Caenorhabditis elegans: one gene and its partners. The protein of the gene in region 3 purifies or fractionates together with the protein of the main gene of each other region. This does not show direct contact. Each region holds a gene or a part of one and is shown on either strand. Other genes may lie near its edges.

Region 1 (5,042 bases), 640 kb from region 3:
ACTGACGCGAAAAACTCTTCATATTTGTTGTGACGTGGCCAAACGTAAAATGCGTTGAATGCGGCAGTCGAGACGACAGCGACAGCAAGTGAAACGTAAATTCCACGTTTTCCATATGATTGGAGCATGTTCCGGGTAGCGGAAGCAGCAACCATGGCTGAAAAAAAGAATGAGTAATACGATGTGCAGCTAGCAAGAAAAAGACGTAAAACAAGAAAGACGTTTTTTTTTAAATCAAAGATATTGATACTTTAAAACATTTGTGCAAAAATGATGGGAAATCCGATGGAAAATGATAGAAATCCGAAGAAAATATGATTGAACTTGAACAAGAATTGAACAATATGATGATGCGCGACGCAACACGCGTCGCACGTCCACTACTGTAGAAGTAGAGTGTATGCAGAGTGTTTGCGGACTGGCGCACCGTAACCGGCTTGTCGAAAAAATGATTATTTTTTGAATACAGATTATTTAAAATAAGCCTTTTTACTGGCTTATCTTATCGTTCTACACTTCTTTTAACTGAAAACGTATTTATTTTCATTCATTCAATAGAACATTAACAAATGAAAAAAGAGCAGGAATAATATTGATGTGGAACACAGGAAAACATATGAACTAGTAGCTGCTGAATTTTTGAAGTTATTTCTACAAACATTTGAAAGAGAATGAATAGAGGAAGATCTGGTATCATTTATAGCTTTGGAGCAACCCATTTGTATGTTCCAGTGAAGATGAAACCGTACTTTTTCATCAATTCGTCACCTTCAGTTGGACCACGACTGAAAAATTGGATTACTGTATTTAATTTTAAAAAAAAAGAAACACAACCAACCTTCCAAATTTATATTGAACCGGTTGAACTTTCTTCTTTTTAAGCTCTTCGAGAACTGGCGTCAAAATACGCCAAGCGTATTCAAGCTCATCAGTTCGAACGAAATTAATTTGAGATCCCATGAATACTTCGAGAAATAGGCGTTCATAAGCATCAGGAAGACGGACTTCTTTGAATCTGAAATTATCACAATGAAATTTTTTTTGAAGAGAAATTTCAAAAACTAACCTATTATTATAAGTCAAATCAAGTTCAGTTTCTTCAACACCGAATCCCATTCCAGGTTTCTTGGTCATCAGTTTCATGTAAACTGCCTCATTTGGTTGCACTCTCATCACTAATTCGGATCGCTTTAATTCACCAGACGGATAGATATCTCCACTGACTTCTTTGAATTGTATACGAACTTCTGCTTTCTTCTCGTTGAGAGCTGCAATAATATTGAAATTTAAAAATTCGGTTTTTTTTTGTATATTCCCTACCTTTTCCACAACGCAAGAAGAATGGAACACCCTCCCAACGTTCATTATTGATGTGAACAACAGCAAGAGCATACGTTGGAGTAGTCGAATCGGCTGGAACTGATTTGTCATCTTTGTATCCTTGTGATGCTTCTGGGTCTAAAATTAATGTATTTAAAAATCAAAACTTTTATAAAATTGTAATTTTTGAAAAACTCACGATCAAATTCAGGACTGGCAATGTATTGTCCAACTACTACATCCTTTAATTCTACAACTTTAGCAGCTTTCAACACTTTGACCTTTTCATCACGAATATCTTCAGCATTCAAACTTGCTGGTTTCTCCATGGCGACTAAAGTTAGAATTTGCATCAAATGATTCTGCATAACATCACGGATAATTCCAGCTGTATCAAAATATCCAGCACGGCCACCAGTTCCAAAATCTTCTTTAAATGAGATCATAACTGATGCAATGTGATCGCGGTTCCAAGATGGAGCGAGAATTCGGTTTCCAAATCTGAAAGTTCAAAATAAAATTATAAATCTCTTCAAATACTTTGAAAAAACATTCTTACCGCATAACCATCAAATTCTGAACCATTTCTTTTCCGAGATAATGATCAATACGGTAGATTTGATCTTCTTTAAAAAGTTTCGCCAAATGAGTTGAAAGTTCACAAGATGATTTCAAATCATGTCCAAATGGTTTTTCTATGATAACACGTGTCCATGAATCACCATGATCCATACAATTCTTCTTTAATTCCGTAGAAACCACGTTGAAAACTGATGGAGGAAGAGCGAGGTAGTAGAGACGATTGACGGCTTCTATAAATTTGCTTAGATTGAGTGAAATTTAATTCTAAACCTACGATTATTGCTTTCTTTTTGGAAATCATCAATTGAAGATTGAAGGCGTTGGAATCCTTCAGAAGTGTCGTATTGGCCCTGAAAAAATGTCAATGGTGCTTTTTATGTTCAAAGTTTCTAGAAAAAAGCTTCGATTCAAATTTTTATTACCCAGTAACAAGATTTTGTGCGAAAAATACGGTAACCGGTCTCGACCCCACAATTTTTGTTGAATGCAAAAAAGTGCGCGCCTTTAAAGAGTACTGTAGTTTCAAGTTTTTGTTGGTTTTCGTAGTTTTCCTACCTGATTTGTAAAAAAAATGTATGTGTTGCAATTATTTTTTTTCAGTTTTAAAACAATTTTTTTAAAATCTGAAATCGACAAAAGCTTGAAGCTACAGTACTGTTTAAAGGTGATACGTTTTCGCATTTAACACAAATTTGTGGTGTCGAGACCGAGCACTGTATTTTTGGAACAAAGTTTCACGCCTATTTATTAGCAGATGTAGATTTACCTGAACGTATGAGCACTTCTTGATGAAGTCATCAAAAGCACATTTCTCATTTTCTCGAACTTTACAGTTTTTCTCAAAAGATTCACGAAGCTTGAAAACTGTCAGATCGGAACGGGCATATCCAATAAATTTGATGTTGACTGGCAAAAGGTTGTCACGGAACAACCACCACAGTGTTGGGTATATTTTCTTTTTTGCGAGATCTCCCTGAAAAAATGTTAAATAATTAATAATCGATATATATGGAATAGATGTCATACCGATGCTCCAAATATCACGAAAACGTACGGAGTCTCAAATTTGAGATCTCTTTGCATTGATTCACGAAGACACTCGACGAGATCCTTCGAAATGGGATCGGACACTGAATGACGTTTGCATGCCATTTCTGTAAATTTATAAACTAGATTTTGAAGTGAGAATGACGAACATTGATTCACAAAAATTACTCGTGTTGAGAGGTAAATAGTAGAAACTACAAGTTTCAAAGTAAACCATCTAGATACACATAAATGTTATTTAAAAGTGAGATTATTGTTTCATTTATACAACGAAAAATCAAAAAGAAATACGTTAATTGATATATTGATGTACTTCATAATGATTCTGCGCAATTCTTTTTTACTGGCAGAGTAATAAACTGCTTACTTTCAGCTAGTTACATTTAATGGAATAATGTTAATTTCTAGCACTAAAAAATGTAATTTTTCCTTTCGAATCATATACCTAGTAGCGAACCGCAGTCTACAATATAAATGAATTGGAACAACTGGAACAACACTATAAATCGGTCACTTTTTACTCCACTTCCATTTTTTTCACAGGGCAGCGAGAGAAGAAAGAAACAGTAAGAGAAAAGTGGATGCGCCAGTCTCTTTACAAACATGAAAATATTTACTGAAATCTTCTCGGGTCACAAAAAATGATGACTGAATGAAATTGTGTAGTGTGTGCGAGTGGTAACCATGACAAATAATGTTCTCTGGGCGACATTGATCGACAATGAAAAGAAACAATGTATTTCTCTAGGAAACATAAAAACTCGAGTAACTTGACTCTGGAGAAGAGACGAAACTTTGTAACTCTAGATTTAATCTATGGTTCTTGACTTTTAGTTGACCGACTAGGATATTCTGGAACACATTTTTTTTGGATTTTATCTGGAAGATGAATTCTTCGAAGACTTAGTCTATCAGAGAAAAAACTAATTTCGTTTTCAGAAAACAAATCAAAAATCACTGAACTTGAAAGTTTATCAATTTGATTAACGTCTGATCAGTTTACCAAATTAACAAGAAGACAAAGAAAAAGAAGAATGAAAACTGTTCTTTGCAACTCCTAAATAACTATGCATTTTCAACCATAAATTCTGCCAATCGGGTTTCATTTGGAAAACGGAGCACACGAATGGCCACATTTATTTGTGTCTCTGCCGATCATTTTTTTAGAAGGTGAAAAGTGCAAACAAAATATGAGGAGAAAAAAACGGAAAATGCTGACAAAACTTCGGAGGTGACAAAGAAAGAAACGGATAAAAAAGGTGAGAAAAGAAAGGGCAGACAAATTAAATGGACAGAAAGACAATCGGGAAAGAATGTTGCCAATTTGGGAATATAATTAATTTTCAAGTATTTTTTTAAAGAGAAATTGAATATTTTCTGTTAAATTCAAATATTTAGAATGCTACATTCTAGCCAGTCTATTGTGGAAATCATGATAAGATTGTCTGAAAGATAATGGATTTTTCCAAAATGCTATTATATTACGTGGGCGAGCGTCTCCTCTATAAATAAAGAGCAATGGGAAACAAAACATGTAAACTAAAATGAACACCAAACACGAAAAAACCTTCCTCTTCCCGTCCACTATATTGATATTTAGGATCTGGTGTGACCCACAAGTGGGTGGTGCCATTCGTGATAAGGAAAATCGGTCGAAAAAATTCATCAGCAAAATACGCGGAAACAGTGAACAGTGAGCACACGTTGTGAAAAAGGTGAGAAAAGCAATTTTTAAATTGAGATAATTTTTATATATGAAAGCTTCAACGGAAAAGATACAAAATCGAGCAAAATAAGAAATTAGAATTTATAGATTATTCTTCAGCGTCCAAATTGATCTGATCTCCGAATTTGGCGTACAAAACCTTCTTGATTTGCTCCATGTCCGCTGAGATTGCATCCAACTCGGAGGTTTTCTCAGACAAAACCTTCTCTGCTGTTGTCTTCTTTCCTTCCAAATGCTCATTCAGACTATCCTGAAAACCAATCACTACTTTCGTGTAAACCAAACGTTAATTCTCAATTCAAATTAAAAAAAAAACTGCTCACCCCATTGAAATGAACGAAGCAGCTTCCAATTCTGCATGGAATTG
Region 2 (7,795 bases), on a different chromosome or scaffold from region 3:
AGCTTCATTGCGTCCACCGAGATTTCACCGTTGAAGAGTGATTTCCCTCGATTTTTATTAGTTTTTCGTCGATTTTTCTATTTCAAAATGATAACAATTATAAAGTAGACTGAACCGAAAGTGGAGAAACAAAAATTATCGGAAACCGTTCGGTGGAAATGCATAACGAACTGTTTGAAAATAACAACTGAATTTTCGGATTTTTTAAAATTAAATTTTTATTTGTTTTTCTCATAACCTGCAATGATAACGTTTATAGAGCAAACTTTTCTCGTCATTTTAAGATATAATTCGTCTATGTACCTGTTGAAAGAACTCAGATCGAACTCTTTTTGTGAAATCCAGTTATAATTTTTCGTTAAAAAGAGGAGCTAAAAGTTATTAATCTGAATTAAAAAGAGTCGAGACAGTGAATCTAATTAATATTTGGTATTTTATTAGAGCAATACACGTATTAAACATTTTATCATGGGTTTTTCGGCTCCAATTTTGTTGGCACAATATTTTATTTCTTGCCACATACTACTGTACGTTTGGGCTCAAATAAGCCATACAAAGTGCTGAACTATGAAGAATAATGTTTCAACATTACATTACTTACAAAAAATCAGATTGAAAGCAATGTTTTCAGTCTTTCTTGGCTTTTTTCAACATAACTTAGTATTACCATCTTATTCTGTGCCTCAACTTAATCGTTACAAGTTTGAATTCTTGAGAAAACTGTATTTAAAACCTATTAAGGCTTTTCAAAACTCAAATATATAAAAACGGTATCTTCTTAAGCTTTCGTTTTTAGTTTCCAATACTTTCCTTTCAGTAAGGCTTGAAATTTTTGGAAGCTTCACTGCTAGTTTCCCACTTCACGATTTTCCAATTTCAACTTGTTAAAACTGGCAAGATCACAGAAAAAGCCACACTTCCATGATAAAATCACAGAAAATTAAAGAAATTGGGCTGAATGTCTCAGATTTAGTGATTCTGGCACATGATCATTTCTCAAAACTTCAATTCAAAAATAAAATTGTTTGTGACCAAACCTTCATTTCTTATTTGACTTTCAGGCTATATATTTAATTATATTTCTTAATTGTCTTCAAATTTTTTTGAGATTTCCCCACTTTATGTAGTGAAAACAAAGATAAACTTCTTATTTTCTCAATTTTTCAATAAATTTAACCTTTTGCAGCAAGGTATTCTCTTTTTAACTGAGAAAACTATTTTAAAAATTCATTTCATCATCTTTCCTTTGCTTTCTCAAGAAAATTTCATAGAAGAAATGAATTTTTTCCGCAAAAATAATTCAATATTCAGAAGTGCGCCAGCACGCGAAAGGCGCATCGGTGAAACGCGCAAGCAATCTCCCTCCCCCTTCGTTTCCACCCGAGGAGACCGTGTTTCCTAAAAAAAAAATTTCAAAATCGCTGAAACTTAAATTTTTTTGGCTCTCGGCAATTTTTTTTGTTTTTTTTTAACCGTTTTGTATGTGCAAAATTGATATTTAATTTGTTAAAAATAGAAAATTCGGAAAAAAACTTGATTTTCGTTTTTCAATCGGTGGTTTTTCGGTTTTTCAGAAATCTATTAAAAAATTATTTTTCGGAAAATTGCTTTTAAAAAATTTCAAGCAGTTTTATACAAGAAAAAGTGAACATTTTATCATTGGCAATTTTGTGAAAATTTAAAATTTAATTTTAAATTTTTCAAAACTAAATTTTCAAAAAAAAATCATTTTTATTTGAACAAAATTTTTAATTTATATTATAAAATTCGATTTTGCCAGTTTTTTTTTTAAATATTGAGCGTTTTTAAGCAAATTTTTTTAAAGAGAAAACCAAAAAAAAAAACCAATTTTTTGCTCAAAAAAACAAATTTTATAAATTTACCTTCTCCTCAAAGCATAACATTTCCGTGTGTGGCTTGGAAATCGGGAATCCATTTGTCGCGAATTTCTCACTTTTCTCTGTAACTGCAAGCAGAAGAGCACTTCGAGCAAATGCGACCAGCTCGGGGACGTATCTGAAATTTATTTTATTGAAAACAATTTTCAACTTTCGGATTTTTCGTAAAAATGGAGTTCGGTTTTTTTTTTAATTTCAAAATTTTGATACGCTTCGATAATTCGGTTTTTTAAATTTTTTTAAAAGAGACGAGAGATTTTTTAAAAATAGAGAAATGACCGGAAGATTTTTGAAAAATTGCAATTTTTTCTAAAAAATTAATTTAAAAAAAAACGGGATTTTTGTATTTTTTCAATGTTTTCTGATCTAAAAATTGCCAAAACAAAATTTATATCAATTTTTGAAAAATTCGCTTTTTTTTAACATTAAAATGGAAAATTAATGCAATTATTTGTTAAAAAATGAACTTCAGAAAAAAAAATCAAGTTATATTTTAAAAAATTGCTTTTTTGAATTTTTATAGTAATCTTTTTTCGATATCGAAAAAAATAGATTTTTTTAAGCGACAATTCTGAATTTTAAATTTTTTGAGTTAGCTTTTGAAAATAATATTTTTGGTGGTTTTGGCTTTTTTTTTCGTTACTTTTCCTATTTTATATCAAAGCTTTCAGTATTTTTTTCAAAATTTGCCTATTTAAATGTTCGTTTCCAAGTATTACCTCTTGGATTCAGACACATATTCAACAATAGCATTAGCCAATTGAATTTGTTTAGCCAACGCATTCAAATTGGCACATTTCGCCGAGCAAAGTGCTTCAGTTGCCAAAAAAAGAGCCGGAACCACTACAGGATGCCAGGAATCGGCAACTGGGAAGAGGCCGGAAACAAGACGAATTGCAGAGATTAATCCAAATGACACTGGGCTACTCTTCTGTTTATCCTGGCGGCCTTTCCAGTGTTGACGGATTAGAGCACGCACACATCGGACTCCGTATTGAATGTCGAACTGCAAAAAACAATTTGAAATTTTTTTCAATTGTTGAATTTTTTGCGTTTTTTAATCTGAATTTTTAATATTATTTTCTTTATTTTCAGGATTTTCCATATTTTTTTTCTGAAATTTTAATGATTTTTTATATAATGTTTCTTTAAAAATATTTCCATGATCGTTTCCTATTTTTAATGATTTTTTTCTTAAATTTTCATGATTTTCCTGGTTTTTCTTTTTTTTTTCGAGACTGATTTTCAAAAAAAAAAGGTTTTAATTTCACATGATTTTTCTCAAAAAATCGGGGCTTTTTTGCAATTTTTGGGTCAAACATTCGGGTATTTTTTTTAATTTTTTGGCCAAAGTTTTTGGAATTTATTGCAATTTTTAGGTCAAAAAATTCGGGGATTTTAAAACATTTTTTGGTAAAAAATTCGGGACTTTTTTGCAATTTTTGGGTCTAAAAATCGAGACTTTTTTGCAATTTTTCGGTCAAAAATTCGGGGATTTTAAAACATTTTTTTGTAAAAAAACCGGCTTTTTTGCAATTTTTAGGTCAAAAATTCGGGGATTTTAAAACATTTTTTGGTAAAAAATTCGGGACTTTTTTGCAATTTTTGGGTCTAAAAATCGAGACTTTTTTGCAATTTTTAGGTCAAAAATTCGGGGATTATAAAACATTTTTTGGTAAAAATATCGGGACTTTTTTGCAATTTTTGGGTCTAAATATCGAAACTTTTTTGCAATTTTTAGGTAAAAAATTCGGGGATTTTAAAACATTTTTTGGTAAAAAATCGGGACTTTTTTGCAATTTTTGGGGTATAAAAATCGGGAATTTTTCAAAATTTTAGGTCAAAAATTCTCGAATTTTTTCAATTTTCAGATTAAAAAGTGCGGTAATTTTTCAGCTTTTCCATCCAATCGCTACCTTCATCAACGCATGCATAGTTTCCTGCGCTAAATTCATTTCCTTCACACTTTCCGCTGTCAATTCCTCCTTCGACATATCATCAAACCATCTTAAACACAAGAGGAAAAGCTTATTCAGACGCTTCTTATTTCCTTCTTTAAGGCTCGGATGATGACATTTCACGAGTCGTTCCAGCACTAAATCCATCGATTCCGAGTGTTTTTCCAGAAGAGCACAGAATTTTTTATAGTTTTTCGGCATTTCGAATACGAATGGCAGAGTTTCAGCGGGTTCTGGAGCAGATTTTTTCGCTTTTTTGACGACTTTTTGGGCTTCCTGAGCTTCCTCATCATCGGAATCTTCTTCCAGCTCATCCTCATCTTCCAGTAGATCATCCAGATCCTCTTCCTCATCTTCTAGATCCTCGTCATCGTCAGATTCATCAGAACCATCCAGATTTTTCTTTAAAATCCTGGATTTTTCCACCGTATCCTCATCGATCAGGCCACCTTCATCGTCAAATTTGACCTCAAATCTCGAATTTTTCGCCTGAACTTTTCTGGCGTCGGCCTTCGATCCAGCATCGATATCAACGTCGGCATCGGCTGATAAATGAGATTTTGCGTTGAAAAATGCATTATTTTTCGAGATACGGGCGGCCTCGAGAGTTTCCAGACGTTCTTTTTCTTTCAGAGCTTCTTCTTCTTCGGATAGCTTACGATCTGCTGGGGTGGCACGAGCGTCGGCTTCGGTTTTCAAGGTGATTGTCTGGAAAAATAATAATTTTTGGATAAAAAATGGAATAAAACCTATTTTTCTTGATTTTTTAGGCGAAGAAACAAAAAAAAAGCCTTTTTCTATCATTTTTTAAACAAAAAAATTGGCTTTTTCTTAATTTTTTTGTCGAAAAATAGTTATTTTAAATTGTTTTATTTTGTAAAAAAACGACTTTTTTAAAGTTATTTTTCGGCGAAAAATTTATTTTTTTAAATTAAAAATTGCCTTTTTCGTCATTTTTGTCAAAAGAAAAACCGACTTTTCTCGAATTTTTGTCAAAAAAATTGACTTTTTAATGATTTTTCGTCAAAAAAATTCTCAGTTCAGCTCAATTTCTTTCGCGATAAGAAGTTAAATGTTTTATTTTTCACTTCAAATTGCACAAATTCCGAAATAATTTTACAGTGTTTTCTCTGATTACAAAGCTAAAACTTGGATTTCTTCAACTTTTACAGCAAAATTAATGAAAATTTCCAATTTCCATAGCAAAAATGGTTAAAAATTAGCATTTTCAGATCAAGTTTTTTGGGTTTTAGGTTTTCCACTAAAAAATTGTGAAAAAAATCGATTTTCACTCTAAATTTATAATTATCTTTTATCTTAAAAATTTGGAGAAAACCGGGATGTTTCCCGTACCAATTTGTCGTAATCATCTTTTTCCAGCGGCTGGCGCCCGGTCGGCCTAAATGAAGCCTTCATTTTGCCCATCAAAGCCTGATACTTGGAATCCAACGACTCTGTCATCAGCTCGAGCTCATCCTTCTGCTGTTGCTTCTCGTGACGCGCCAGCTTCGTTTTCGCAATCAAATTCGAAATCATATCCTCTCGGCTGATTTTTTCGCGGACGTGCTCCTCGGCGGTCTTCTCTCCACCACCGAAATGAGCCACTTTTACCATATTTGAGCCCAAATTTCCCGGCTCTTCATCGTCATCCGAGTCGGAAATCATCGATTTGTCGTATTTTTCAATGTCCGAGAGCGCTTTTCCCTTGTGAGTAAGTACTGAAATTTACTTTATTAAAATTTTTCTCAATTTATTTCGGAATAAACCTTCTTCCTCCTCATCTCCATCATCTGTCAAGTTGAATTTCGATGCTCTTTTATAATTTTTGACTCTTTCCTCTGTGAATCTCATCGCGCCCTTCTCCTCCTCGCTTTTTCCGTCCTTTTCGCCGAGCCGTTTGTCGACAATTTTGCTAATCTTATTTTTCCGGTCATATTCTACGCCTAGCGTCTGTTCACGTTGCTCGTGAGCTCGTTTTCGTGACGCAGTCGGTGCTCCAACTTGTGCGCCCTTTTTCCGGCCGAGAATCTGCGAGAAAATCGATTTTTTCTTCAAAACTCTGAAAAACTCACGTCATGCTTGGATTTGTTGAATTTTAGCTCGAATGGATTGGTTTTTCGTTGCTTTTGCTTTTTATCAACACCCATGTTTGCTGAAAATGCGAAAAATTAGGGGGGAAACAGAGAAAAAACCAGGGGTATCCAGGAAAATTTAAGAATAAAAATTGGGAAGTTTGCGCGTCAAGTCGTGCGCATTGTACGCAACGACGCCTTTATTTTGCAAAGTTTTGAAAATTGAAATGTTTTAATTTATTTTTTTATGCACGTTTTGCTGAAAAAGTGGAAAATTTGAAGAAAATCAAGGGAAAACTAGGAAAAATCAGTAAAAATCAGTGAAAACAGAGAACATAATGAAAAAAATTTGCGCGTCGGGTCGGGTGCGCTGTACGCAAACACTTCACACTTTTGAAATTTTTTTTTTATTTTTGCGAATTTTTGCGAGTTTATTCCCCGCGGGCCTGCGAAAAATTGCGTAAAACTTTAATATTTTGACCGGAAATTTTAGATTTCAAGTTTTAAGCTAAACTATCTTTGTCCTTTCACCTAATTCTTCCCTATTTCACCCCCAAAACAGCTATTTTTCCCTATTTTCAGATGGAGCAAATCGGAGCAGCTCTCCAGCAGACTCTGGAGCCGGATGCTGCGATTCGCAAGCGTGGAGAAGAAGCGCTCCGCTCGCTGCAATCAAATCCAGGCTATATCATTCAAATTCTTCAACTGGTGGTCAACGAACAGCAACAAATTGCTCCGCAGATCCGAATCGCCGCGGCTGTCGCTTTGAAAAATTTTGTGAAGAGAAATTGGGTTGGAAAATTTGAATAAATGCGTGAATTTTATATTTAAATTGTTTCAGGGCCCGGCACCAGAGGTAGAAATGGGCCAGGAAGACGAGGAGCAGTTCAGAAGCATGCTTCTCGAAGCGATGTTCAATACAAAATCAAATGTTCAGGAAATCCTGTCCAATGCTCTGTATCTCATCGCTCAGAGAGATTTTCCCGAAAAATGGCCAGATTTGGTTCCATATTTGTCGAAATTCCTGAACGGAGCGGATCTCAATCACCTGGTGGCCTCGCTGGCGTCGATGGAGCAGATTTTCCGCAAATTCCGATTCGAATCCAAGTCAGCAGAGCTTTGGAAAGAGCTGAAGAAGTGTCTACTGAGCGTGAGTTGCGTTTTGGCTCAAAATTTGGCTAATTTCAGCTAAAATCCCCAATTTTGGCCACTTTTTTACGTCGCAGCCGTCGGAAGTTGAATTTTTGTCCGCTTTGACCCTAAAAAATGACCAAAATTAGACATTTAAGCTAGCTAAAGCTGGCCTTGTTTTCCGAAAAATCGTGAAAAATTCAACATTTTATGATTTTTTAGTCAAAAATTTTAACTAAAGCAAAAATGAGGAATTTTTGGCGAAAATTGATAATTTTCCTATAAAAATGGACAAATTTTCAAAATTTTTGAGCCAAAAAATTGAAGAAATCTGAATGTCAGTCTCGAATTTGGACCGAAAAACTGTTTTCTCCCCAGATTTTTCAGTTACAAATAAAAAGAACCGATTTTTCAGACCCAAGAGCCTCTAACTCTGTTGCTACGGAACATGATGGAGGTGGGACAGCGGAAGGATCAACTCGGAGCCGACGAGATCGCCCAATGGCTCCGAGTCTTACTTCTCATTGCAAAAGTCTACCATTCTCTGTGCTCACAGGAGATTCCGGAATACTTCGAGGATCATCTCAAGGACTGGATGCCACACTTCTTGCATCTCGTGCAAATCGACGCGCCGACGCAGACCTCCAACTCGGGAGAACCTACAACTCTGGACGAGCTTAAGCACGAGATCTGTGAGATCTTCACGCTCTACTCGCAACGCTACGAGGAGGAGATC
Region 3 (4,732 bases):
TTAAAATCTGTGAAACTACACGATATGCACATTCCAAAATTTCTCTGTAACTGCAAAAATTCAAAAAAATCTCCAATTCTAAATATTTCCCTCAAACATTTGCGTACACTTCGAACCGAAATGGGGGATTCCCTCCAAACTGTCTTTATCATCTTTTATCATTTCTTCTTTTTGTCCAATCAGATTAGCTTCGTTCAAACGATCACCCAATTTAATCTTTCAACATTTCTTTTCATTCTCTCCAGGAATTGCATCAGTTTGACGACGAAGGTTTTGCCGGAAAAGATCAACTGATATGGAAACGGCCAAGCATCAACTTCGTTTAGACAATTCGAAAATTTTGCAACAATTGTGGAGGTGATTCCCAAATTTGAAGCTGATAGTGGCACACAATGTGAAAGTGATATGTTATCGAAAATTCTAAATTATAGTAAATAGAAAGACACAAGTCTGATAAAGTTTTTAATGCTCCCTGAAATTTCTTTTCCAATGATCATTGGAAAATTGCAATGACCATGTAGAAGTGTTTAAGGAAATAAACTTTTTATTATTTTTGAGATTTTTTTTTGAAGAATGGTCTCCGTCTCGAAACCGTCCCGAACCAACAAACAACGAAAAAATTATGTGTGGGGATGAAAAGGGGTGGGGAACCAATAAAATATTTAATTATACTAAAGTGAGAACGAACCAGGCAGAAAAGATCAGAGCTAGACTTTAGTTAACCTAGATAGTTTCGAAACAGAAAACTATGGAAAAGGCACTAAAGGGTTACACGAAGCTATTTAAACCTGGCTTGGAGCCATTTGATGTCATAAAAGAGGATACAAGAGCCATGAGATGAGTGAGAAGTGGGTACTTATGTGAAGGTGAATCCAGCGGTTCTGTAGGTGTTGTAGACCTTCTCGATGGAGTTGGCATAGGCAGCAGTACGGATATCAAGTCCAAGGTTGTACTTGTGAGCGGTGCGGATGATGGCTTCTCCGGAGCGTTGCATTGTGTACTCGAGTCCAGAGTGAACGATGTCTTTCTCGGAAGCTCCAGCGATCTTGGCAGCGAAAGCAGCATTTGGTTCAACTGGGCAATCCTTTCCGACGGCCTTGGAGAGAGATTCTTGGACCGAGGCTGAAAATTCAAACATTTTTAAACAGAAAGAATTGATTTACAATTTGTTTCCTAGAGTGCATACGTACTCATTTTCACGACAACGGTTGAGTGGCCTCCTCTCCCTCCTCATAAAATAAACGGAAAAGTGTGACAAGCGTAAGAGTATCTAGCCCTTGTTAGTTTCTAAACAAAATTTTATCACAGATGAAAACTTGCAAATCGTTTCATTGTGTTACTCTACGCAAGTCTAGGAATTCAAATTTCGAAAATTTACTTACCCAAAAGCATCTTGTTGGCTTCCTCGTCATATTTGAATGTAAGACGTCCGTAGGAAACATGGTTAAGATTCTTCAACCACTCGAAGTAGGAAACAGTAACTCCACCAGAGTTGACGTACATGTCTGGGATGATGAGGCAATCTCCACGAGCAAGAAGAATTCTGTCAGCAGCTGGGGTAGTTGGTCCGTTGGCAGCCTCGGCGATGATCTTAGCTTGAATGCGGCTAGCATTTTCCTTGTGGATCGACTTTTCGCAAGCAGCTGGAACGAAGATATCGCACTTCTCGTACATAAGCTCAGTGAATGGGTCGAAGTTCTTGGCTCCTGGGAAGTTCTTGATAGTTCCATTGGCGTCCTTCCAATCTTCGAGCTCCTTTGGATGAATACCATCTGGGTTGTAGACGGCGCAATCGTACTCCTGGATTCCGATGACCTTTGATCCAGCACGGTGGAGGTATCTGTGGGTGTGAAGTCCGACGTTTCCGAATCCTTGGATGATAGCAGTCTTTCCAGCGAGTCCGGTGTCAAGACCGACCATCTTCATGTAATCAGCATCGTTGGTGAACACCTCGAGTCCCTTCCACACTCCACGTCCGGTGGCGGAAACACGTCCGTGAATTCCTCCACTGACAATTGGCTTTCCTGTGATACAAGCCGAAGCATCCTGCAAACAAAATTATTCACATGCTCACAAAAAATTTATACTCACTCTGTCCAAATGTCCAATGGTTTGGGCGTAGGTATCAGCGATCCATCCCATTTCACGCTCTCCGGTTCCCATATCTGGGGCTGGGACATCAACTCCGGGGCCGAGGAATCCCTTCTTTGCGAATTCGATAGCGATACGGCGGGTGATCTTCTCAATTTCATAATCAGTGTATTGCTTTGGATCAATCTTGACTCCTCCCTTAGCTCCTCCGAATGGAACATCGACAACAGCGCACTTGTAAGTCATAAGAGCAGACAAAGCTTTGACCTCATCTTCGCACACATCGAGGGAATAACGGATACCTCCCTTGGTTGGAGTTCTGTGCTCAGAATGCTGTGCGCGCCAGGCCTCAATAACCTCGAACTCTCCATTGTCACGACGGATTGGGAAGGTGATGTAAAGGACCTGAAGAAAATAAAATATGATAAATTAATGAGACTCAAAATTCTTACCTTGTTAACTGGCTTGATAGCTCCAAGAATTCCGGACACGAGATTCTTCTTATCCTTTTGGCTCAAAGAGTTGGACTTGAGCTCCTCGGCGAGTTTTGGAGCGATGACCTCGGCTCCCTTGTTGAAGTAAAAGTCGACCATCTTGTAGAAAGATGGGTTGACCTGCTCCTCCATTGGCTTCTGCTCGTCGAGCACCTGGGAGTGGGCATCGAGAGTAGCGGCCGAATAGCTTCGGACAGCGACCGAGCGGGCGCCTCTGGAAAGAGTGCTCAACATTACCTGAAAATAAAATATTTTGTAATTAAAATTTAAACAAATAAGAGATTTTACATAAGAAGCCAAAGTGCAAAAAGGAGGAAAAGATCCGGGCGGAATCGAAAAGTAAGGAAAATGCCAGGAGGTCTCGTCACGAAATCCATGCGCCTTTAATAATTTTCAGCGGCAGTTTGAAATTATTTAAGTTATAGCTCGTTTAAAAATATTTAAATCAAAAAAAATTGGCAGAGGCATCAAAACCTTTTTTCCTAAAAAAAATGTGGCACCGCCCGCGAGTAGGCAAACGCTTCTAGGCCACGAAAAGCTCGTCCTGGGGACGCGGGCGCCATAACTATTCAAAACTAGAGGAGCCCAACACAAAACTGTTTACAGGACAACGCGCAACCATCATCGGTGGGCGAGACCGATGAAACTGCAAGCAAAAGATAGCGTTTCATGGAGGAGGAGGAGGAGGTGACTGGCAAATAGATATTTAGAGAAAGAGAGAAATAGAGGCAACATTCGGGGGAAAAATAGAGAAAAGATGCTCCGCCTATTTGAAGAAGGAAAAAAGAAGAGTGGGACGAGTGTCATTGATCTTCGCCCATATTGTGTGGTGCTATTGCATAGGACATACGATCTGCATAGCAACAAAACAAAAGAAGCAGGGTCAATCGACGTCATCTGAGAAAGAATCGAGACAGTGTCTCGCTAAATTCGCGTCAAAAATCTCATTCAACGAATTTTGAATACCAGTTTTGTTTTTGTTTCTCTTTCGATTTGTTTTACTGATCGACATCTTTGATTCTTCGTAAATAATCTTCAGAATAAGACAACCGATTTTTAAATTTTATTTCTCCCCCAGAGATTTGACAGAAATTTTTGAAGAATGTGGCTTTTTCGGTGGTCGCTTCCATAACCAAACATAGAGCATAAAATATTTTTAAAATGGAAAAAAAATAATTAAAAAATCCGAGCACCAAGACGCGCTACCATAAACTTTTTCTCCCGACGAGACCCATTGGAATGAATTCATGCGCCTTTAAGAACAAATTCTACACTTTTGATTTTATTTTCATTATTTATTGAAAAAATTTCAAGAATGATAAAACGTGAGCTTGTTAGTTGTGATAAAAAAGAAAAACAGGTTAGTAATTTGAAACCGGATAAATCTAGACATAAGCATAAATCGAAAGTTATAACCGATTGTATGACTGGAAATAGTTTTCATGAAATGAATTGTCATAATATTGCTGATTATAAAAATCATAATGGACTGTGGGCGAAGTTTGAAAACTAGGAGATAATTGGTCTGTTTGTGGAAAAGTATGAACCATCTGATATTCTTCTGGAGACGATGGGTAGAGAGAGTCATAAATAGAAGATGGTATTGATTGTGGAGAATTGTATTGATATTGATAAAGGTACGATGGTGACGAAGGTGATGATTCAAGCAAACTCATGATTCCCTTTTCAGCATTTTTTAGTTCCTTCTCATCTAGAGATTCGACAGGAAGTTTTGCTGGACGTTTCGAACGCTGGCACTTTGTTCCACTGATTTCATACTTTCTTTTTCTTGAGAAACGATTCATACTCTTCTTCAATTCACGATTGACTTGTCCACGATATTCAGTGCAAGTGATGAATATCATTTCGTCGAATTTCGTTTCCTTCAGGTATATCAGTTCGTCGTTTTGCATCTCATACAACACAACTCGGATTTGATACATTGTTCTCGAGGAGAGACACACCTGAAAATTTGAAAAAAGTCTAAATGACCATTGCGCAATTAATCGTTTTGGTTTTCAAACATGCTGATTATTGGGGACGCAAAAAATGCCCCTTTTGAAATCAAGGTGCAAAAACGCCCCGCCACAAAACGTTGGGTCTCGGTAGGTTTTTGATTTTGGCGGAAAACCTGTAAATTGGTGAAG
Region 4 (3,869 bases), on a different chromosome or scaffold from region 3:
TGGCCCGTTTTCGGTGTCAAAACTACTGTACCTGGTCTCGAAGCGAAGATTTTTTATGCCAAATATTGTGCGCCTTTAAAGAGTACTGTAATTTCCAAATTTCATTTCTGCAGAATTTTCCTTAATTTGCCATAGTTTTTATGATAAAAAGTAAAAAAAAAAGTTTAAAATGTCAGAAATTCTATCAGAACTGGAGAGAAAATATGAAAATTGTTTTTTTTTTTCAAATTTTTTTACAGTTTTTCTCCAGTTATGTTGAAATTTATAATATTTTACAGTTTTCTTGTATTTTTTAATTTTTTATTTGAGTTTATCTTTTTTTTTTAATCGATAATTTATCGAAAAACTACAAAAAATCAATAAAAATTCCGCAACAACGAAAGTTTAAAACTACAGTACTCTTTAAAGGCGCACATCCTTCTGCAACTAAAAAAATTGTCGCTTCGATACCAGCTACCGTATTTTTAGCGAAAAAATCGCATTTTTCACGATTATTCTTCGATTTTGTCTGAAAAATTGGTAAAAACTGAAAAGTTAGGCTCCTGGACTTTTTTATTTAGAATTTTTCTGAAAAAAAAAAGTTTTTGCCGAATTTTATGCCAAATATTGTAAAATTTTAAAACGTTTTAAATTACTACCTAATAAAACTGAAAAAATAAAAAAAAAAGAGAACTCTACGAAAGGAAAATCAAAGAAAAAACTAATTTTTTGGGTTTTTAGAATATTTGATTTTTTTAAAACAATTTCAGTGTAAAAGTAAGAAATAGACATTGAAATTTACAAAAAAACGGCATTTTTTTTCGAAAAAAAAAAGTGATTTTGCACTTTATAAGATGAAGATAGTAACAAAAACAGACAACAATAAAATGAAAAAACTGCAAAAAATCAATTAAATAATTCCCCAAATCTCCTCAAGTCCACTGGTCACTTTGGCACAAGTCAACGCTGCACTCAATGGATAATTGCTGATCTTGGTCTCAGAATCGTTGTAATCGACGACGATCTTTCCACGAGCAATTCCACCGATAATAAGGACCAGAGGCTCGTCGGTTTCCGGTGCAACAAGCTTATTAGCCATTGTTAGCTCAGGTACATTGAACGACATGAGCATCTTACGGGATCCCACTGGAAGATGGTTCGACACTGGATTCTTCACTACTGACATCAGCTTTTGAGTGGTTTCGGCGGCTCGAATGGAGAGTTTGTGCAGGAGTTGGACTGAAAATATGGAAAATAGAAAATAGGGGGATTTTGCATAAAAATACCTAATTGCAAGAAAAGTCACAAAAAATCCAATAAAAAGTATTTTAAAGCATGTTTTTGAAAATTGGATTTTTGTGCTCTTTTTTGTGAATTTTTTTTTGATTTTCAGACTATTTTGGGGTATTTTGAATCCGGGTATTTTTAAAAGGAAAAGGGTATTTTTAAAAATTTATGTTTAAATTTGATAAAAAATAATTTTTAAAAAACTCGAAAAATTGTCTTTTTTCTTATTTTACATACAAAAACACTTCAAAATATATTTTTTTCAATTTCCAATAAACCAAAAACTCACCCATAAGTCCACAGAATCGATCAAAAGTTCTTGGAATTCTGCACTGTGGTGAGACATCAACGAGCACATTCTTGCTCGTTCTAAAGAAGACACGAAGCTTTCCGGCTCTGTTAAGCGGACTATCAAGTAGATTCAACAAGCATTGATGTAGGATATCTGGCCGATAATCAGCCGGATCTTTTTTCTGTTTTCTCAGAAAATTCGCGTGTTTATCACTGCTCAAAATTGCGTATTCTCCACCGACTTTTGCAGTTTCAAGACTACATCCTTCCAGTACAACGTACAAAATCTTCTTGTCCTCCAATTGATTATCCGTCTTCATGCGCTTCGCATTTGGCGGTGCAACTGTATCGTACTCGTGGGACATCTGAAATTCGGAGAAATTAATTTTTTTTGTCATAAAGTAATTTTTTTAGGACCAAAAATCGAATTTTCAATAATTCTGATGAAAAAAAAATTATTTTCTGAATAATATTGTGATTTTTTATAGTTTAGCACAAATTTTAAATAAAAGCTGTGGGAACAACGATAGGTCGTTCTGTAAAATTTTCGAAAAAATGCCGCTTTTTTGGAAATAAAATTGAGTTTTTCGACTTTTGGAAAAATTTCTAATTTTCCATATCTATCAATATAGGAATATACATAATTTTTGATAAATTAAAAGTTTTCACTTCTTTTTTCGTTTTTCGATATTTTTTCGTCAAAAACACTGAAAAATTTCTGCGGAGAAAATGTAAGTCGAAAATCAAAAAACTCAAAAACTCAAAAACGAAAAAATTTGTAAATTTGAACGGTTTTTCAAAAATTTCAGTGAGTTCCTTTTTTTGTCGAATTTCCCCTAAAACATGAAAATTTAACTAAATATTTTATTTCGGGATTTTTGAATTAACGAAAAATGGTTTTATTTTATTTTTTCGATTTTTGAAGCTCCTGTAAAGATTTTTATAAAACAAGTTCAAAAAATAATATGATGGTTTTTAAACCGAAAATAATTCTCACAGAAAAAAAAACTCAACAAAAATATAAATATCGAGATCAATCTTCATTGCAAATAGTACAAAAAATATCAAAATTACTTCAAAATAGTCATAAAAAAGTCGGAAACAACTCGCGGGAGCTGCAACTTCGAGATCGAGTCCTCCACAATTTTATCATTGATATGAAGCCAAACTTTTCTGAAAAAAAAGAGGATTTGAGGTGAATTTTTCAGCTGAAAAAAAAACCCACCGAAACGAGGTATTTGTCACATTTGTGCTCTCGTCTGCCTTCAAAATTCCCATTTTAACGAGATGATCCAATTCTCGGAATACGTAGACATCACTGCTCACGTTCAGTGGAGGATAGTGTTGATTAACGAGTTTTTTGAATTCTGAAATTACGGAGAAAATAGATTTTTAAAAAATAAGCTTAAAATTTTCATGTTTTTTCTCATCAATATAATCGAAAATTAGATTTAAAAAAAATCATATTTTATGGTTAATTTTCTGAACATTTTCTTAATTTTTCGGAAATTCAAAAAATCGAAAAATTTTTCGTTTTTCAATTTTTAAAAATTCGAAAAATCGAAAATTCCGAGATAAATTTTAAAAAATACCTAGAAAAACGTTTCGATACGAAGTTTTTGGCGCCAAAAGTGGTCCATCTGACTCTTTATTCTGCACAAGTCTCCAGACACAAAGAAAAACGCATTGTGCTCGAACTGTTTGATCTGAAAATTTGAAAAATTTTTAGAATTTCACTGGAATTATTAAATTTTTGAGCCGAAAAAACAGTATATAATTAGTTTTTTCTAGATTTTACCGGATTTTTTTAATTTTTCAGAAAAATTTCAAAAGCTGTAAAGATTAAAATAGGTTTTGATTGAAAATCACGATTTTTGCATGATTTTTTACATTTTAAAGTTGTTTAAAATTTGAAATTTGTTCCGAAAAAAAAAGGTAAAAAATTACTTTATCAGCTCAATTTCCAGATTTGAAATCAGAATTTTTAATTCTTTGCGGAATTTCAAAAAGTGAACTTGAATTGTTCATTTTTTGTTTTCAAAATTAGAAAATCGTGGGTTTTTTCTGCCTTTTTCAAAGTTTTAGCAGAATTTCTACCTTTTAAAATCAACAATTTTCCATTATACGAGGGAGAAGTCGTCTCGACAATTTTACGAATCTGTTTGCTGATTTCCTCGGGTTTCCACGTGTCTTCTACGTCACAATAGTAACCGAAAAGCATCAGGAATTGCGCGGCCAATTGTTTCAGAACGACGTAGTGACTTGTCTGAGAATATGGACTTTAATGGGGGTTGAAAAGCCGAAAAATATGA

Evidence for each region.
Region 1: the proteins of gdh-1 (region 3) and gspd-1 fractionate together in Caenorhabditis elegans (co-fractionation; one large-scale study listed by BioGRID). This does not show direct contact.
Region 2: the proteins of gdh-1 (region 3) and nol-14 fractionate together in Caenorhabditis elegans (co-fractionation; one large-scale study listed by BioGRID). This does not show direct contact.
Region 4: the proteins of gdh-1 (region 3) and emg-1 fractionate together in Caenorhabditis elegans (co-fractionation; one large-scale study listed by BioGRID). This does not show direct contact.

Annotation. Positions count from the first base shown.
Region 1 is NC_003282.8:11,315,433-11,320,474, reverse strand, and holds gspd-1 (Glucose-6-phosphate 1-dehydrogenase), read right to left. Parts: upstream 3,057-5,042; 5' UTR 3,055-3,056; coding exon 2,929-3,054; intron 2,876-2,928; coding exon 2,669-2,875; intron 2,253-2,668; coding exon 2,177-2,252; intron 2,133-2,176; coding exon 1,880-2,132; intron 1,822-1,879; coding exon 1,520-1,821; intron 1,459-1,519; coding exon 1,321-1,458; intron 1,269-1,320; coding exon 1,067-1,268; intron 1,016-1,066; coding exon 839-1,015; intron 786-838; coding exon 698-785; 3' UTR 524-697; downstream 1-523. Other genes in the region: B0035.18 (Mitochondrial cytochrome c oxidase subunit VIc/VIIs domain-containing protein), read right to left, coding at 7-155; pfd-4 (putative prefoldin subunit 4), read right to left, coding at 4,764-4,925, 4,999-5,042. UniProt on the Caenorhabditis elegans protein: Cytosolic glucose-6-phosphate dehydrogenase that catalyzes the first and rate-limiting step of the oxidative branch within the pentose phosphate pathway/shunt, an alternative route to glycolysis for the dissimilation of carbohydrates and a major source of reducing power and metabolic intermediates for fatty acid and nucleic acid biosynthetic processes.
Region 2 is NC_003279.8:322,068-329,862, reverse strand, and holds the start of nol-14 (Nucleolar protein 14), read right to left. Parts: upstream 6,009-7,795; 5' UTR 6,004-6,008; coding exon 5,929-6,003; intron 5,885-5,928; coding exon 5,623-5,884; intron 5,575-5,622; coding exon 5,210-5,574; intron 4,565-5,209; coding exon 3,815-4,564; intron 2,905-3,814; coding exon 2,618-2,904; intron 2,017-2,617; coding exon 1,884-2,016; intron 1-1,883. Other genes in the region: xpo-2 (Exportin-2), read left to right, coding at 6,511-6,720, 6,770-7,078, 7,475-7,795.
Region 3 is NC_003282.8:11,951,339-11,956,070, reverse strand, and holds gdh-1 (Glutamate dehydrogenase), read right to left. Parts: upstream 2,823-4,732; 5' UTR 2,820-2,822; coding exon 2,544-2,819; intron 2,497-2,543; coding exon 2,092-2,496; intron 2,047-2,091; coding exon 1,383-2,046; intron 1,123-1,382; coding exon 857-1,122; 3' UTR 530-856; downstream 1-529. Other genes in the region: tbx-36 (Putative T-box protein 36), read right to left, coding at 3,995-4,549.
Region 4 is NC_003281.10:10,647,572-10,651,440, reverse strand, and holds emg-1 (Ribosomal RNA small subunit methyltransferase nep-1), read right to left. Parts: upstream 1,923-3,869; coding exon 1,556-1,922; intron 1,219-1,555; coding exon 890-1,218; 3' UTR 533-889; downstream 1-532. Other genes in the region: orc-4 (ORC (Origin Recognition Complex) subunit), read right to left, coding at 2,628-2,730, 2,783-2,924, 3,150-3,263, 3,655-3,823.